2 linked regions of the Medicago truncatula genome follow. The main gene of each other region encodes a partner of the protein of the gene in region 2 in a complex. Links are inferred from orthologs where the notes say so. Each region holds a gene or a part of one and is shown on either strand. Other genes may lie near its edges.

Region 1 (7,899 bases), on a different chromosome or scaffold from region 2:
AAATCAATAACACCAAAAGAAACAATGTTCATTCTCTCTATTAAAAGGAGGGCACACGAAGGACCCAAAACTAACCATACAGGGCAATAAAAAGAAGTATTTCACATCATAAGGCTGGCTCTTTAAAATTAAATATTCAGAAAATATTTACTAGCTACTAGTACAAAATGAAATTCCATAAATAAATAAAAAACAGTACAAACCGGAAAATCCAACTGCTTAAGGAGCACAGCAGCCTCTGCTCTCACTTGTATTGATTCAGAATCTGAGAATAGCTTCCCCTGGTTAGAGAGAAGAAAAAAGTCAGATCACAATACCAATGATAATAAACTAACTATTTGATTTTAGCATAACATTGATTTTAAGTTGACTGTCATCCTATAAAGCAAGGACACCTCTCCAAACTGCTGTGTTGGGTGACATCCCAAACACCCCTTGAACATGCATTGAACAAGTGTCATACACCCCTTAGTAATGCCCAATTAAAAAACTTTTTTTTTTTTTAGCTCAGACATAGCTTGCAGACAGACCAAGGGATTGAGAGCCGACACCTACTCTCGGTAGGACACTTCTATCATTAAAGAAATAAAGATTTTTTAAAAAAATCAACTTATATTATATGTAAGAATATTAACAAATTGAGATCAATTAAAATAAATGAAACACAACCTTTATTCATTGAAATGTAAAGTCATAAAATGATCCTAGTAATTTTAAGAGACACGGTTCATCTTATTTTGGGATTATTTCTATAAGGGTTGGTTACATTATTGAACGAACCTTCTTAGTCTTAGTATTCTTTTTGCATGGGTCATATATATATAGGGAGTGTATCTAGTGAGAAAGCCTATTCTTATGTGAGAGTGAGAGGGTCAATTATCAGCCCTTGGAATAAAATTCATGGTTGAGATTAAATCATCTTACTAAATGAGTTCAGTGAGTCACATGACACTTAATCTCTCCCCTGTTTTCCTCTTACACACCGTTTTCTCCCTTCACCCTTTGTGAACTGCAGCTCCTTATCTTCTACAATCATGGTTGACGATGCTACTTCTATTCTTCCTTGAGCATTAAAATCTCAAATCAAAGACCAACGGGTTTGCTGTAAAAAACATTATGTTTGTGTATTGGATTGAAATTGATTTTCGTTTGTTTTCCCCCTTCTCTCAATGTGTTGGATTGGATTGAATTGAATTACATGAATTGGGAATTTTTTACATGTTTTGCAGGTTTCGATTACAGGAGGTAAGTAAATTAGTCAAAAAGAATTAAAAAAAAAAAAAAAAACTTCAATCTTTCCTCGTACCTAACGTCAATGCAAAGTTGCAATCAAAAGACAAAAAATATTCACTTATGTGCCATTCAAAAAAAAAAATCCCTTATGTAGATGAACATGTAATTGTCAACTATTTCTACTAAAATTATAGATATTATGAAAGACGGTGGCATGGTAGTAGCTGGTGCTTGCTGGTATTTTCCATGTTGATCGTTACTGGTGGAAAGATGAAAAGGCATGAGTGACTATGGACTTGAACAGTTGTGAGAGGTCGTGTGCAAATAAGTTACACGATTATGTTAATTGAGTATTTTGATCTCAACCATTAATTTGAATCCAAGGGCTGATACTCCATATTTCCCCTGGCTTGAAATAATGTTGACTGATAAACCCATTTCTGAAGAGCACGATAAGATGATAGAAGTATACCTGCAAGTTTTTTATTACATTAGCTATTGCTTCTTCAGATGCTTGCTTACAGTCCTTGAATGATGAATCTCCATATGCCTGATAGAGAGAGGATATAACCAAGATATTTCATCTGAGACCTAGATTGATATGTTGCGTGTAAAAGTAATAATCAAAGGATTGAATTAGAAACCATATAAGGAAAAAGCAACCTTAAAAATCGGCATTGCTCCGGTGTAAAACCTGACTGCGTCTGCATATGCCTCTGACTTGATGCACTTGCCAAGTCTATCAGGAAGATCATATATAAACTACTCTTCGACAAGGGTAAAAAGTGTGTCAGTCATATCATATCACAGAAACACTTGTTAAAAGGTAAAACTATCATGCATTATAAAGATGTAGAAAGATTATTCAACACAGGGGCCACACTAAAAGAATAAGTTTTTCATTGTTAGGTCCATTCAGCAAAAATCCAACTTGCATCGGATTTGATATGTGGAAACACAACCATACAATGAACAATGACATGGACAATTGCTTTGATACCTGAACTTTGCGAAGAAGATTACAAGTCCTATGCAGTTTCTCAATATGCTCCCTTTTGTCAAATAGAGAAGTGTTCACATTGTCACTCCTTGACTGAACAGACATTATCTACATTGCAAGAAAAATGCGAATCCTATCAAATTCAACCCTTATCTTCCTTTTTTCATTTCACTTTTCAATAAAAAAGCGCGCATGCGCAAACACACACACACAGTCAAAATGAAATTGAATTCCATAAATCTAATACTACAGTTACCTTGTCGAGAAGCTGTTCCATATTAGTTTCCATCCCTGAAATGTTACTTTTCATCCTGTTTAACAAAACCCAAATACAACGGTTCTTTCACAAAACACACTCTAAATAAAGCAAGAGAAAAAATAGCTATGAAGCACCGACACAAGACACCGAACACAACACTAACACGCCGATAATTATTTGAAATGCAATCGCATGTGTCAGTGTCAGACACACACCGGATACACCTTTGATCAGAAATGTCGGTGTCTACATACCTCTTTATAGTATCCGTGGCGCTGATGAACTTGTTGTAATTCTCATAAACAAGCATTTGCAAATCAGTATCAAGATTCTTAATTTCAGCTGCCATTTCAACATGTCGTTGAAGTAAACCTTCCAAATTCGATTTATAAACCTTCATAATAATCAATTAATTAATCAATCAACCAATTCAGTTCAATTTAATAAAAATTCAATGAAATGCAATGAAACTAATGTTACCAGAATGTTCATGTATTGATCGGGATCGAATTCGGAGGAGTTAATGTCATCGAGAGAAGCGTATTTAGGGGAAGTGATCGCAGAGTTGGAGGAATTGGAAGGGTCTGGAGAGTAGAAACTGGAAAGCAGATCGCGCATTCTCTTTGCTTTATCGTCCAATTGTACTTCATCTGATGTACCCATTTTGAACACTGTTTTTGATGTGTTAAGCGAATTTGATTTCTCTTGCTATGATCTGTGAAATGATGAATTGAAGGTAAACTGGTTTTTGAGATTTGGGGAAGACGATGCTTTTTTTTTTTTTGTTAAGTGAAAATGGACTCGTATTTTAGGTTTGGCCAGTTTTTCTAGTTAGAGTGAATTAATTTCTTTTTCCACCCTAAGCACATCTCGCGCCCCCCTCTAATTTGATTAAAATATCTTTATTGTTATGAATATAAGTAAATAGAGACAGTAATAGAGAGAAGGAGAAGAAGAGAGAAATATTCTTATTCACTAGTGTGTATCAATGTTACAAATGAGCTCTATTTATAGGGAAATAGAGTAGCTTATGAACTAAGCCCAAAACCTAGTAGTATGGCCCACTAACACATTTGCTATTTGGACATCCAATATTAATATTTATAACACTCCCCCTTGGATGTCCATCGAGGATATGCCTCATTAAAACTTACTAAAATAAAACCCCGTGGGAAAAAAAATCTAGTGAAGGAAAAAGAGTACAATATCCTTTTGAGTTTGAATTGCCTCGTTAAAAACCTTACCAGGAAAACCCAATGGGATAAAACCTTGGTGAAGGGAAAAAGAGCGCAGAACACATTTATTTCTCCCCCTCATGAAGACAAATATCTCTTAGACGGCGAAGACCAATTCTTAGTACAAGTTTCTCAAAAACTTTACTTGGGAGCGACTTTGTAAAAACATCTGCAAGATTATCACACGACCGAATTTGTTGAATGCTGATATCACCATCCTTCTGAAGATCATGAGTGAAAAAGAATTTTGGAGAAATGTGTTTTGTTCGGTCTCCTTTAATGTATCCTTCTTTCAACTGAGCGATGCATGCTGTATTATCTTCGTAAATTATTGTTGCATCCATTCTTCCGGAGGATAAACCACAATTCTTTTGGATGTGCTGAATCATGGATCTTAACCAAACACATTCTCTACTTGCCTCATGTAATGCTAAAAGTTCCGCGTGATTTGATGATGTTGCTGTTATTGTCTGTTTCACAGATCTCCATGAAATTGTTGTATTTCCACTTGTAAACAAATAACCTGTTTGTGATCTACCATGATGAGGATCTGATAAATAACCTGCATCTGCATAACCAATTAATTCTAGTTTGGGTACTTTAGGATAAAACAAACCCATATCCATTGTACCTCGAAGATAACGAAGTACATGCTTGACCCCATTCCAATGTCTTTGTGTAGGTGAAGAACTGTATCTTGATAATAGGTTAACAGAAAATGATATATCTGGACGCGTATAATTAGCAAGGTACATTAATGCTCCTATTGCACTAAGATATGGTACTTCAGGACCAAGTAGTTCTTCACCTTCTTCTCGAGGTCTGAAAGGATCTTTCTCCACATCTAGTGATCTAACAACCATTGGAGTAGGCAATGGATGAGATTTGTCCATGTAGAAACGTTTTAACACTTTTGCTATGTAAGTTTCTTGATGCAGAAAAATTCCATTATTTAAATGTTCGATTTGCAATCCGAGACAAAACTTTGTCTTTCCCAAATCTTTCATTTCGAATTCTTTCTTCAGGCAATCTATGGCTTTTGGAAGCTCTTCGGGAGTCCCAATAATGTTTATGTCATCAACATAGACAGCAATTATAGCAAATTTATTTTCAGATCTTTTCATAAAAATACATGGACAAACAGAGTCATTTTTGTATCCCTCCTTTAGCAAATATTCACTGAGGCGATTATACCACATGCGTCCAGATTGTTTTAGCCCATAGAGAGACTTATTTAATTTTATGGAGTAGTCTTCCCTAGATCCTGAACTATTTGTATCAGGTAAGTTAAATCCTTCAGGGATCTTCATGTAGATGTCACTATCAAGTGAGCCATACAAGTAGGCAGTAACCACATCCATCATATGCAAATTTAGCCCTTCATAAGCTATAAGACTAATTAAGTATCTAAAAGTAGTTGTGTCAACTACAGGTGAATATGTCTCATTAAAGTCAATCCCAGGTCTTTGCGAAAATCCTTGAGCAACGAGTCTTGCTTTATATCTTGCAATTTCACCATTTTCATTACGTTTTCGCACAAACACCCATTTATACCCAACTGGTTTCACTCCTTTAGGTGTTCGGACGACAGGTCCAAAGACTTTTCTCTTGTTGAGCGAGTATAATTCTGCTTTAATTGCATCTTTCCATTTTGGCCAATTCTCGCTTTGTTTACAATCTTTAATAGACCTTGGTTCATGATCCTCGTTATCATTCATTACATTTAGCGCTATATTATATGCAAAAATATCGTCAACGTTGACTTCATGTCGGTTCCATTGTATTCCATTAGTGACATAATTTATTGAGATCTCTTGATTTTCATGTATGTCAGGTACCTGATCAGCTTCTTCTGGAACTGAAATATTGATTATGTCAGAAGGGTCTGTTGAAGTTTCTATATCCTCATTTGGGCCGTCTTTTCTTCTAGCTCCTTTTCTTGCACGAGGATTTTTATCTTTGCAACCGATTGGTCTGCCACGCTTCATGCGTGGTTGAGACTCGTTTGCAATATGAGATAGTCCAACAGGAACATTCAATTTTATTGGAGCATTAGCAGCTGGTATGTATGATTTAGTCACACTTTTTGGATCAGTGAATGCATTTGGCAGTTGGTTTGCTAAACTTTGCAAATGAATTATCTTTTGAACTTCCAGTTCACATTGTTTAGTTCGAGGATCAAGATGAGACAATGAAGGTTCATTCCAACTGATCTCCTTTTTCAGCTGCATTTTCTCTCCCCTAATGTTGGGAAATTTGATTCATCAAAGTGACAATCAGCAAATCGAGCTGTAAATAAATCTCCTGTCGTGGGTTCGAGATACTTTATAATAGATGGAGATTCATATCCAACATATATTCCCAACCTTCTTTGAGGACCCATCTTAGTGCGTTGTGGTGGAGAAATTGGAACATACACCGCACATCCAAATATTCGCAGATGGAAAATATTAGGTTCTTGACCAAAAACCAATTTCAAAGGGGAAGAGTCATGATAACTGGTTGGCCGGATGCGAATCAATGTTGCAGCATGCAGAATTGCATGTCCCCAAGTGGAAATTGGGAGTTTACATCTCATGAGAAGTGGTCTTGCAATTAACTGTATACGCTTAATAAATGATTCTGCAAGTCCATTTTGTGTATGAACATGTGCTACAGGATGTTCAATGTCAATTCCAATGGACATGCAATAATCATTGAATGTTTGAGATGAAAACTCAGCAGCATTATCAAGACGTATTTTCTTTACAGGATAATCAGGGAAGTGAGCTCTTATTCTAATTAATTGAGCTAGCAATCTCGCAAACGCCTGGTTGCGAGTTGACAATAAACAAACGTGTGACCATCTTGTTGATGCATCGATTAAAACCATAAAATATCTAAATGGTCCGCACGGTGGGTGTATTGGCCCACAAATATCACCATGTATGCGTTCTAAAAAATTTAGAGATTCACTTCCAATATTTGTTGGTGATGGTCGAGTTATTAACTTCCCTTGTGAACAAGAAGTGCATGAAAATTTATTAGATTGAAGAATCTCCCGGCTCTTCAATTGATGACCACATGAATGTTCAATTATTTTTCGCATCATTATAGATCCGGGATGGCCCAACCGTTCATGCCAAACCACAAAATTATCATGATTTGTAAACTTCTGGTTTACAATTACATTTGCTTCAATTGTACTAATGTAGGTGTAGTACAATCCAGAGGAAAAAGTAGGTAGTTTTTCCAATACACATTTTCTATCTAAGTCATGTTTTGTGATGCAAAGATATTCAACACTTACTTCGTTTCTTGTTTCGAGATGGTATCCGTTTAGGCGAATATCTTTGAAACTTAATAAATTTCTATGAGACTTAGGTGAGTACAACGCATTCTTAATATATAATTTTGTCCCTCCACATAATGATATATTAGCTCTTCCGGAGCCTTCAATTATCTTTATAGTACCAGATATGGTATTAACGGTTGATTCTCCTTTTAATAGGTAAGAAAAATATTTTTTATCTTTGAGAATTGTGTGGGTAGTTGCACTATCAGCGAGACACATTTCTCCATAGCTACTCATTCTATAAAAAAAAAAAAAAGAATAAGAATGATAAGAAATTGTTTAAACGACGAGGAAATAACATTTATTGTCAATAATATTGAGAAATTCAAAGACACACTTAACATGGAGAAATTCAAAACTTTCTAAAACATAAGACTTTATTACTATCATAAAAAAAAACTACTTCTTCACGGTTCCATCTCCAATAAGGTGATCAATTTTTCCATTTGGATCTTCAAAGAAATCACCAATATCCAAAGGAGTAGTATCCAGGTCACCATAAATATCATAATCAGCATCATCACCATCATTATAAGCATAATGAGTTTCAACCTTTTTTCCTTTGTTTTTCAGTGATTGCTGATAAAGGTCAACCAAATGCTTTGGAGTACGACATGTACGAGACCAATGACCTTTGCCACCACATCGATAGCATATATTTTCATTTGTTTTGCTATTTTGTCCACCTTTTTCCTTTTCAATCTTTTCATTATTTTTCCACTTCTGGTGGAAAAATGGGGTTTTGAATTTTCCATTAGGATTGTGGGCATGACCACGACCATGACCACGACCGCGACCACGAGCTTTTCCAAAATGGTTGTGTTGTGATGCATTCGCT
Region 2 (8,050 bases):
TTGTCCTTGTCAACGCATTCTTGCTCTTCAACCTTTTGCCTCATATTTGACTCCTCGCTGAGTTTTTCCTTTCCATCACGCAACAGCATGTAGCTCCCTTGGTCAGTAATTTGAGTGCCTTCTTCTGCAATTGCATTAGCATCAAAATTTTCCTCGCCCTCAATAGATACCAGCAATCCTGCACAAACAGAACTACAAGCATCACTATCTAGAAACTAAACGACATTCTCATTTACAACAATTTCAATTTCAGCCACAAGTTAAGCTGAAAAAGAAAAGCAAAAAGATACACCAGTGAGATCGGTAGATATCTTACCATTAACCTCAACAGTTTGGTTCATTGTTCGACTTCTTTCTGTTTCTTGTTGATCTTCAACATATATTTCCATCCCCTCATATACATCAGATTGTTCGGCATTCAAAGCAGAAACACCACTCACATCCTTGTCAGCTATTACTTGCTCCGTTGCATTGCACTTTTCAACTTCAGTCCCACAGACAACTTCATGTACAATATTGGTTTTGCCATCAACTTTATCATTCCCAATTGGCATATTCAATATCGAATCTATCGTTTCCATAATATCAACAACAATATTAGAGTTGGCATCAAATTTATCATTCCCAAAATTCGACGTTTCCTCAATATCAACAATACTGGAATTGCGGTCAACTTTACCATCATTCACAAACGGCATGTTCAATATTGAATCAATTGTTTCCAAAATGTCAGCAAATAGTGATGTCGACGGGTGACCTGCTGCCTCAGCAGCAGCATCCATAGCGCAAGAGTCAGTGCCAACTATTGATTGATACCTCGCTTCCCTTTCCGAAACCACTCTATCCAACTTAACTGCGGCGGCATTCTCAATCTCAGCTTCTCCACTCAAATGCTCAACTATCTGACCACCATATTCCACAGACTCGTCTACGGTTTCGCCAACAACTGTGGATATATACCTCTTTTCTACTTCTTCCATGGATATAATAAACCTCTAAAACTTTTTTATATCTAACAAAAATCAAAACTTCAAATTTTCAATAAAACATTCAATTTTCATTGACCAAGCTCAAAAAATGAAATCTATAGAGACCCTAATGCAATAGTTTCCTAAAATAAACCTAGTTTGATAACAACAAAAGTAGAAACGATAAAGAAACAAAAGGGAAGAAAAATAGAGTAATGTAGTTACCAGGTAGGATTGGAGTTTGCGATGAAAGACTGCGACTGGGTGGTGAGTGAAAGTGACGCGAGGTTTCAGCGGTTCAAGTTCTTACCCTGCACACAAGCGATTTATCAAATCCATAACATACTATTACTAGTAACTACTTCTTCCTCATTTGACTTTATTTTTATCCCTAAATATTTTTCTTTTTTGAATAATTTTTGTTCTTATAAACCCCTTTTCAAATTACAATGTATTTATTAATTTTTCCTAAATATACTCCTAATTTATACTACTAACTTGTTTTGAAATATAAAAAGTCAAATTTAATATGCATACAAACAAAGGATAATTTGATAATATTAACACACAAAATAAACACATTAATTGCACTAACAACTTTTCTTAAGAAATTTGAAAAATGCAAAAGGTATATAGGAACGGAGGGAGTACTATTTTTTTTATTAGATTATTCCATCGAATCAGTTTTTTATTTTGAAGGGAAATAGTCAATAGTTAGTTAGTGCTCACTTGGACCATGATATATCCATTAATTTTACAAATCATCATACACCTAATATAAAAAGTTCATAAATCGATTGACGTTTTGTAAATGGATCATGAACGGTTGTCATGATCACTCGGTTGTTAGGGACATCATATTTTATATGTAGAGATAGAGGCGGGGTCACGTGAGGACATAGAATGGTCATAGTTTATCCATTAATTTGTGGAAATGATTTTTTCTCCTAAACGTGTCTTCTTTTCTCACTGGCGACAAACAGTGAACATGAATGTGAACCTTCATCATCCACCATCATTCATGTTGCGATCGGAAACACCTCCATCCCTTCTCCCTGTCGATCTCTCATCTTTGATTCTTTATTTTCTCAATCTCTCCACAAACCTTAAATGAGTAGTTGTAAGTGTATCTCTGATGGTTCATCTATTTAGTAATAGTAATGATATTACTTCAATTTTCTTTTGTTTGTTAATGAATTTGATTTTTTATTTGGTTTTCAACTTTAATTTTCCATAAGTCTAATCAAATTGAAAGTGATTATTCATTATGAGACTTAATATATCATTTGGTCCGCTTATTTTTTGTTTTCATTTTGATCCCCTAACTATAAAGTGTTTCAATTTGGTCCCTCAAATCTTCCGTCGTTTACTATTTTGGTCATCTCCGTTAGTTTTTGAATGTATAATATTTTTAATATGATTATAACTTTTTTTTTTTTGAAACGGCAAAATATTATTAACCAACAAACCATATCTAAGCACTAACAAGCTTGGGTGGAGAAAAAAAAAACAAAGAAGGGGAAATCGGTTGCCTTACTAACACCCATATCTAATTATTTTCCTTTTCTTCTTTCTCATTCCTTATTCTTCCTCTTGATCTTCATCATCTTCAACACTATGTTCATGTAAAACCCAAAAAAAACTTAAAGAAACAAACCCATAATTTTTTTTGTTGAATCCTTCACTAAAATCTCAAATTAATTGGATTCAATTACTTAAAAAAAATCCAGAATTGAAACACAAGAATGAAACCTATCACCCTCCTTCTTCCTCAATCATCATCGTTCCTTCACACCCATCTCCAGATCTCTATCCTCTCTTCCACAAAACCATCTCCACGTTCGATCTCATCACTGAAATCGTCACCAACCTCACAATCCTTCTCGTTTCCCTCCAAAGTTTCAACCTTTAACCTTTTCTTAAAACTCCATTTCCCAACTCATGCTAATTCAAATCCACCATTTCCTAAAAATCCGAATCCAAATTTCTAGTTTCCACCACCAATGAATCCGAATTCAAATCTGAATTGGAATTCCTTCTCATATTCTTCCTTTGGAGTCTGAATCTGAATTCAAAGAGAAAAAGTGTAGAAGAGAGTCAAAGAGAAAAAGGGTTGAATTTGAATCTCTCTATTCTGATAGTTTGAACCGTAGTAGGTCTGTCAAAAAGTCAGGTAAGCTAGGCAAGCTTGAAACCAATAAGAGTGGACTCAAGAAATATGGAAGGAAAAGCTGATGCTACAAGTGCCGAAGAAAAAAAAAGGGTTAAATATGATTTTGATCCCTATAAATATATCAATTTTTCGTTTTAGTTCCTCTAAAATTTTCCTTCAACTTTTAGTCCCTTAAAAATTTTCAATCTTCACTTTTGGTCCCTCCTTTAAAATAAAATCATATGTAGAATTCGTATTTTTGAATTAAATTTTGCAGAAAAATTCATAATATTATAAGAATATCTCCCAAAAAAATTAGAATTTTTTAAAAGAACATGAATTTAATATAAATTTTTATATTTTTGATCGTTAAAAATTCATATTAAATTTATGTTTTGTTAAAAAATTCTATTTTTTTTTTAAATATTTTTACAATATTCTACACGTTTCTGCACAATTTCATTCAAAATACTAAAATTAACTTTAAAATAGGGACGAAAAGTAGTGATTGAAAATTTTATAGGGACTAAAAGTTGAATGAAAATTTTAGAGGGATTAAAGCGAATAGTTGGTATATTTATAGGGATCAAAAACATATTTAACCCAAAAAAAAATATGGATGTTCGTGAACACCAAGTTGTATTGAATGTTATGGTTTGTTTGTGTATAATACTTTATACTCTATATATATTTTGGTTTTAGGCTTAATATATCATTTGATCCCTTAACTTATTTTTTGTTTTTATTTTAGTCTCCTAACTATAAAGTGTCTCAAACTGATCCCTTCTTTTACCGTTACATTTTTTGGTCCTCTCTGTTAGTTGTTAACATCAAATGTCTAATGTGAACCGTATTTAAAGGTGGTCTATCATAAACCTTATTAAATTTTTAAATTTTAACCCTTTAATTTTTTCTTAAAAAGATAATTGTTGGATCAGGTAGGGTCTATTGTATTTTATTATGAACCACTAACACCTAATATTTTTCTCACTTTTCTTCATCTTCTTCATCAATTAACCCAGAAAAAACAAAAAACTTAGAAGAACAAAAAACATAATTTTTTCTTCAAATAAAAAACATAATTTTAATTTTTTCTTTAAAATAAAAACCTAAAAATTACTACCACACCATCGCCATCTTTCTTTCATTTTCCCTAACATTCTTAAAAGAAATTACTACCCAAAATGAAAACAAAAAATAAGTTAAGGATCTAATGATGTACAGTTACACTTACAATAAGAATTTAGAATATATTATAATGAGACAAAACAATTAACAATTTTTAATTATTAATTAATTAATTTTGATTGAGTTGAGATTTTGGGATGTGCTACAAGTATTTGATTCTCCTTCTATGCCAATTTTAATAAACTAGTTTGCCTTCTTACAAAAATATATTAATTTTATTGTAAAAAATATTAATTAATTAATTAATTAACTGGAATATTAGGGAATTTTTTTATTTTTTGAGGGAGGGATATTTTTCTCTTCCCAATAAATTGTTTTTATGGGCAATTAATTTAATTGGGATATTTTTAATGCAAGAGATTTGAAGCCACACTGGCACACACTACAGTTAAACCATACCGGTTTAAACTACCATCCCAAACCCGGTTCAACCACCGGTTTTTTGCATACAAAGATCTTCTTCTTTCTTTTCACTTCCACTACTCCATTTTCATCCATTCCTCCTCACTGCAAAAACAATCTCCACTCTCTCCTCTCTTCTTCCTCCAGATCCCAACCTTTTTCATTCACATTTCCCTTTCCCCTTGCACCCCCCATCTCCCCTTACACCCCCTCTCACTAACTAAAACTCCTCACTATAAAATCAATGTCCTCTAACTAACTCCGCTCCATAATCCAAATGGATTCCCCACCTTCTCAACAACCGTCGTGGGGAAGATCACCAACCTTTTCCACCACCCATCTCAACCGCACAACCTCCACATCTTCATCAACCTCTTCCCCATCATTCTCCAAAGACTCTTCCACAATCCAATCTCTCTCTTCCATCCTCAACAACCCTCTCTCTTCCACCACAATCTCCTCTCCCGAATTCACCCCTATCTCCTCCACCAAATCCACCTCCACTCTCACCCGATCCGATTTCCTTCCATACCTCTCTTCCCTCTCCGATCCCTTCCACCGCTTCGACGAAATCCGCAAACACGCTAACAACGAGATCTCAACTATCTCCGACGACGGCGGTGCCGGAGAAGCACTCGTCGCGTGTCTCCGTGAAGTTCCTTCGCTATACTTTAAACAAGATTTTCATCTCGAAGAAGGCGCTACGTTTCGTGCGGCGTGTCCGTTTTCTACGTTTGCTGAGAACGCGATTTTGCAGGAGAAGCTTTCGCAGTATCTTGATGTGGTTGAGCTTCATCTTGTGAAGGAGATCTCTTTGAGATCGTCGTCGTTCTTTGAAGCGCAGGGTGAGTTGCAGGATCTTAATGGGAAGATCGTGGAAGGATGTACGAGGATTCGTGAATTGAAGGATACGGTTAGGCTTATTGATTCGGATTTGGTTGAGTCTGCGAGGCAGATTCAGTTGCTTAATGGTACAAGGACGAATTTGTTGGCGCTTCAGCAGAAACTTAGGCTCATACTATATGTTAATCAAGCACTCTCTGCTCTCAAATTGGTTCGTTTTTTGAATTTTTGTGTGAAGATTCTATGTTAGTGTGTGCTAGATTTCGCTTTACAATCCTCATTTTTAGATTTTGAGTTTTTTGATTCAATTCATTGATTTTAGAGAAGTGTTTAGGTTTTGGTGTTGTGAATGTTAGAAATTTTACTGAATAATGTTATTGAGAATTGTGGAACAATGACACGTCAACACTGATAACAATTACTGAAAATTGCATGATTGAACGTAATCACACATGTGTGTCGGACTCTGGACACGCCTTCGATTAGAAGTACTATCGGTGCTGCAGATATTCCAGTTAATCTTATGCAGTTTTAGTTCTGTTAGCTAGTGAATAATTCAGAGTTTTGAATTTCGAATGTTTTTATTTTGAATCGTTGTAAGAATGGAGAGGTGTTACTGCTGTAAATTTGGAAGCTATACTGAATAGGATTAATGGATTATTGAGATTTGTGGGGAAACTATTTGCAGTTTTCTTTGGGTTGTTGTAGTAGCAGTTCTGTGAGCTTGTAATTAATCAATTTATGCAACAGGTTTCTTCGAAAATTAGTATGGCGATAATTTTGTTTGATTTTCCTATGTTTCCCTTATTAGTTTAGTCGTTTTTTATGAATGTTTGACAACTGGAAATCCATTTTAAGTTGATATATTTTGCTGTGATACAGCTTGTTGCATCTGCAGATTGTGCTGGAGCACTGGATGTAACTGATGATTTGCAACATTTGCTGGTATACTTTAATTATTATATGATATTTTCTGAATATTATTCTTAACTACTACTTCTTGTTTTCATGATCGTAGACTTAGTTTTGTTCTTTATCTTTTCATCAGCACTATATGTGTTTGACCTATCATGACTAGGGATGTATCTTAAGTCTTGACTTATTATGATTTTTAGTTTAGTCAACTTAATAGAATATGATGGAGAACTCAACAGAAGTAATTCCTAAATTTTATTCAGTTCAAAAAATCCTAGATACAATGTAGTTGGTATCCTCTACTTAGAATATATTTTCCCCTACAATTATAATTGCTTTGAAGCATTGAAATTAGAAAGAAGGTTTATGTTGATTCCATTATCCATATTGATCACGATATATTTACTGTGATATGCGGAGGTACTGTATTATGTTCCTTTTCTTTGCATAAGCACTGAACATGTTTAGATGTTACCCGATCTTATTGTGGATGGGTAATGTCTTAGTAAATGTGTGTAGCTGATATCAATCAGTGTTTGGGTAGCAGATACCAATCATAATATTGAATTGTGCCAGTTTCCTTTTAAGTTACAGCTGACATCAATTACTTACATTGTCGAACTTATCTAGTTTCCTTTTTAGTCTGTTAATGGCACATTCTATGTTTTAACATCAATGGGATTCCTGAAGGACGAGAAGAAAATTTTATGCTAATTTTAGTCTTATTGTTTCCTGTAACTTTGGTAGGATGGAGACGAGCTCACTGGCTTGCATTGCTTTCGTCATCTTAGAGATCATGTGACAGGCTTTATAGAATCCATAAACAGGTACACCTTTTTTGATGTCCTGATCTATCAAGATTGTGTATTCCGTTAACCTGCATCTGAAAATTCATTTGACAGTGTTTTCTACTGCTTTTTGTGATTTTTGATCCCCTGTAATAATGGGAAGAGAATAGGGTTGAATTATAAGGTTTCTTTGGATAGCTCTGTTTTTGCTTTTGATCTTTAGATGGTGATAGGGAAGTCTACACTCTGCTAATGGCTTTGATGGGTTGAAAAAATGTTTTGGGCTTGCATTGCACTTGGCCTATCTGTGAAATCTTTTGTTCTTATGGTAGAAAAATAAATTGTTTTGATAAAGAAGTAGGGGGATGCAACCATTGAAAATCAATATGCCATCCTAAAAGAAACAGAAGTGAAAAATAAGACAGTGGAGAAAGATGAATCCACATTTATCAAGTTTACCAATTTGACTCTCAGAGTCCTTAAGCACCATATAGAAGCCAAAAGCACCCATTTAAAAGTAGTGAATTTTAACTTAGGTTTATAAGAATTTGTATATAAATTCTTGCCTAGATTTTGAATATATAAATTTATAAGAATAGGTGCCTGTGGATACAAAACATTTGTACCGCATGAATCTTGTTCAGTCAGCTGCTGATTATTCAGGTTGGTCTATCCAAGTAAAACACATCATTTTGATTAATAAGAAAGAAAAGAGAGATACAGAATAATAGAGAAACGAAGCAGCAATTGAGATCAAGGTAGCCAGGATCGAGTCCCAGCACGTAGGATCGCAC

What was found.
Region 1: vacuolar protein sorting-associated protein 54, chloroplastic (region 2) and vacuolar protein sorting-associated protein 51 homolog share a complex: the UniProt entries of both Arabidopsis thaliana proteins name them as parts of the golgi-associated retrograde protein (GARP) complex. The link is inferred for Medicago truncatula from reciprocal best matches to the Arabidopsis thaliana genes VPS54 and AT4G02030.

What each region holds. Positions count from the first base shown.
Region 1 is NC_053042.1:42,783,387-42,791,285, reverse strand, and holds the start of vacuolar protein sorting-associated protein 51 homolog, read right to left. Parts: upstream 3,305-7,899; 5' UTR 3,156-3,304; coding exon 2,973-3,155; intron 2,887-2,972; coding exon 2,747-2,886; intron 2,545-2,746; coding exon 2,490-2,544; intron 2,342-2,489; coding exon 2,234-2,341; intron 1,996-2,233; coding exon 1,897-1,995; intron 1,784-1,896; coding exon 1,706-1,783; intron 282-1,705; coding exon 204-281; intron 1-203. Other genes in the region: uncharacterized protein, read right to left, coding at 7,461-7,899. UniProt on the Arabidopsis thaliana protein: Acts as a component of the GARP complex that is involved in retrograde transport from early and late endosomes to the trans-Golgi network (TGN).
Region 2 is NC_053043.1:20,989,413-20,997,462, reverse strand, and holds the start of vacuolar protein sorting-associated protein 54, chloroplastic, read left to right. Parts: upstream 1-4,783; 5' UTR 4,784-4,987; coding exon 4,988-5,764; intron 5,765-6,435; coding exon 6,436-6,498; intron 6,499-7,215; coding exon 7,216-7,295; intron 7,296-8,050. Other genes in the region: uncharacterized protein, read right to left, coding at 1-178, 317-980. UniProt on the Arabidopsis thaliana protein: Acts as a component of the GARP complex that is involved in retrograde transport from early and late endosomes to the trans-Golgi network (TGN). The GARP complex facilitates tethering as well as SNARE complex assembly at the Golgi.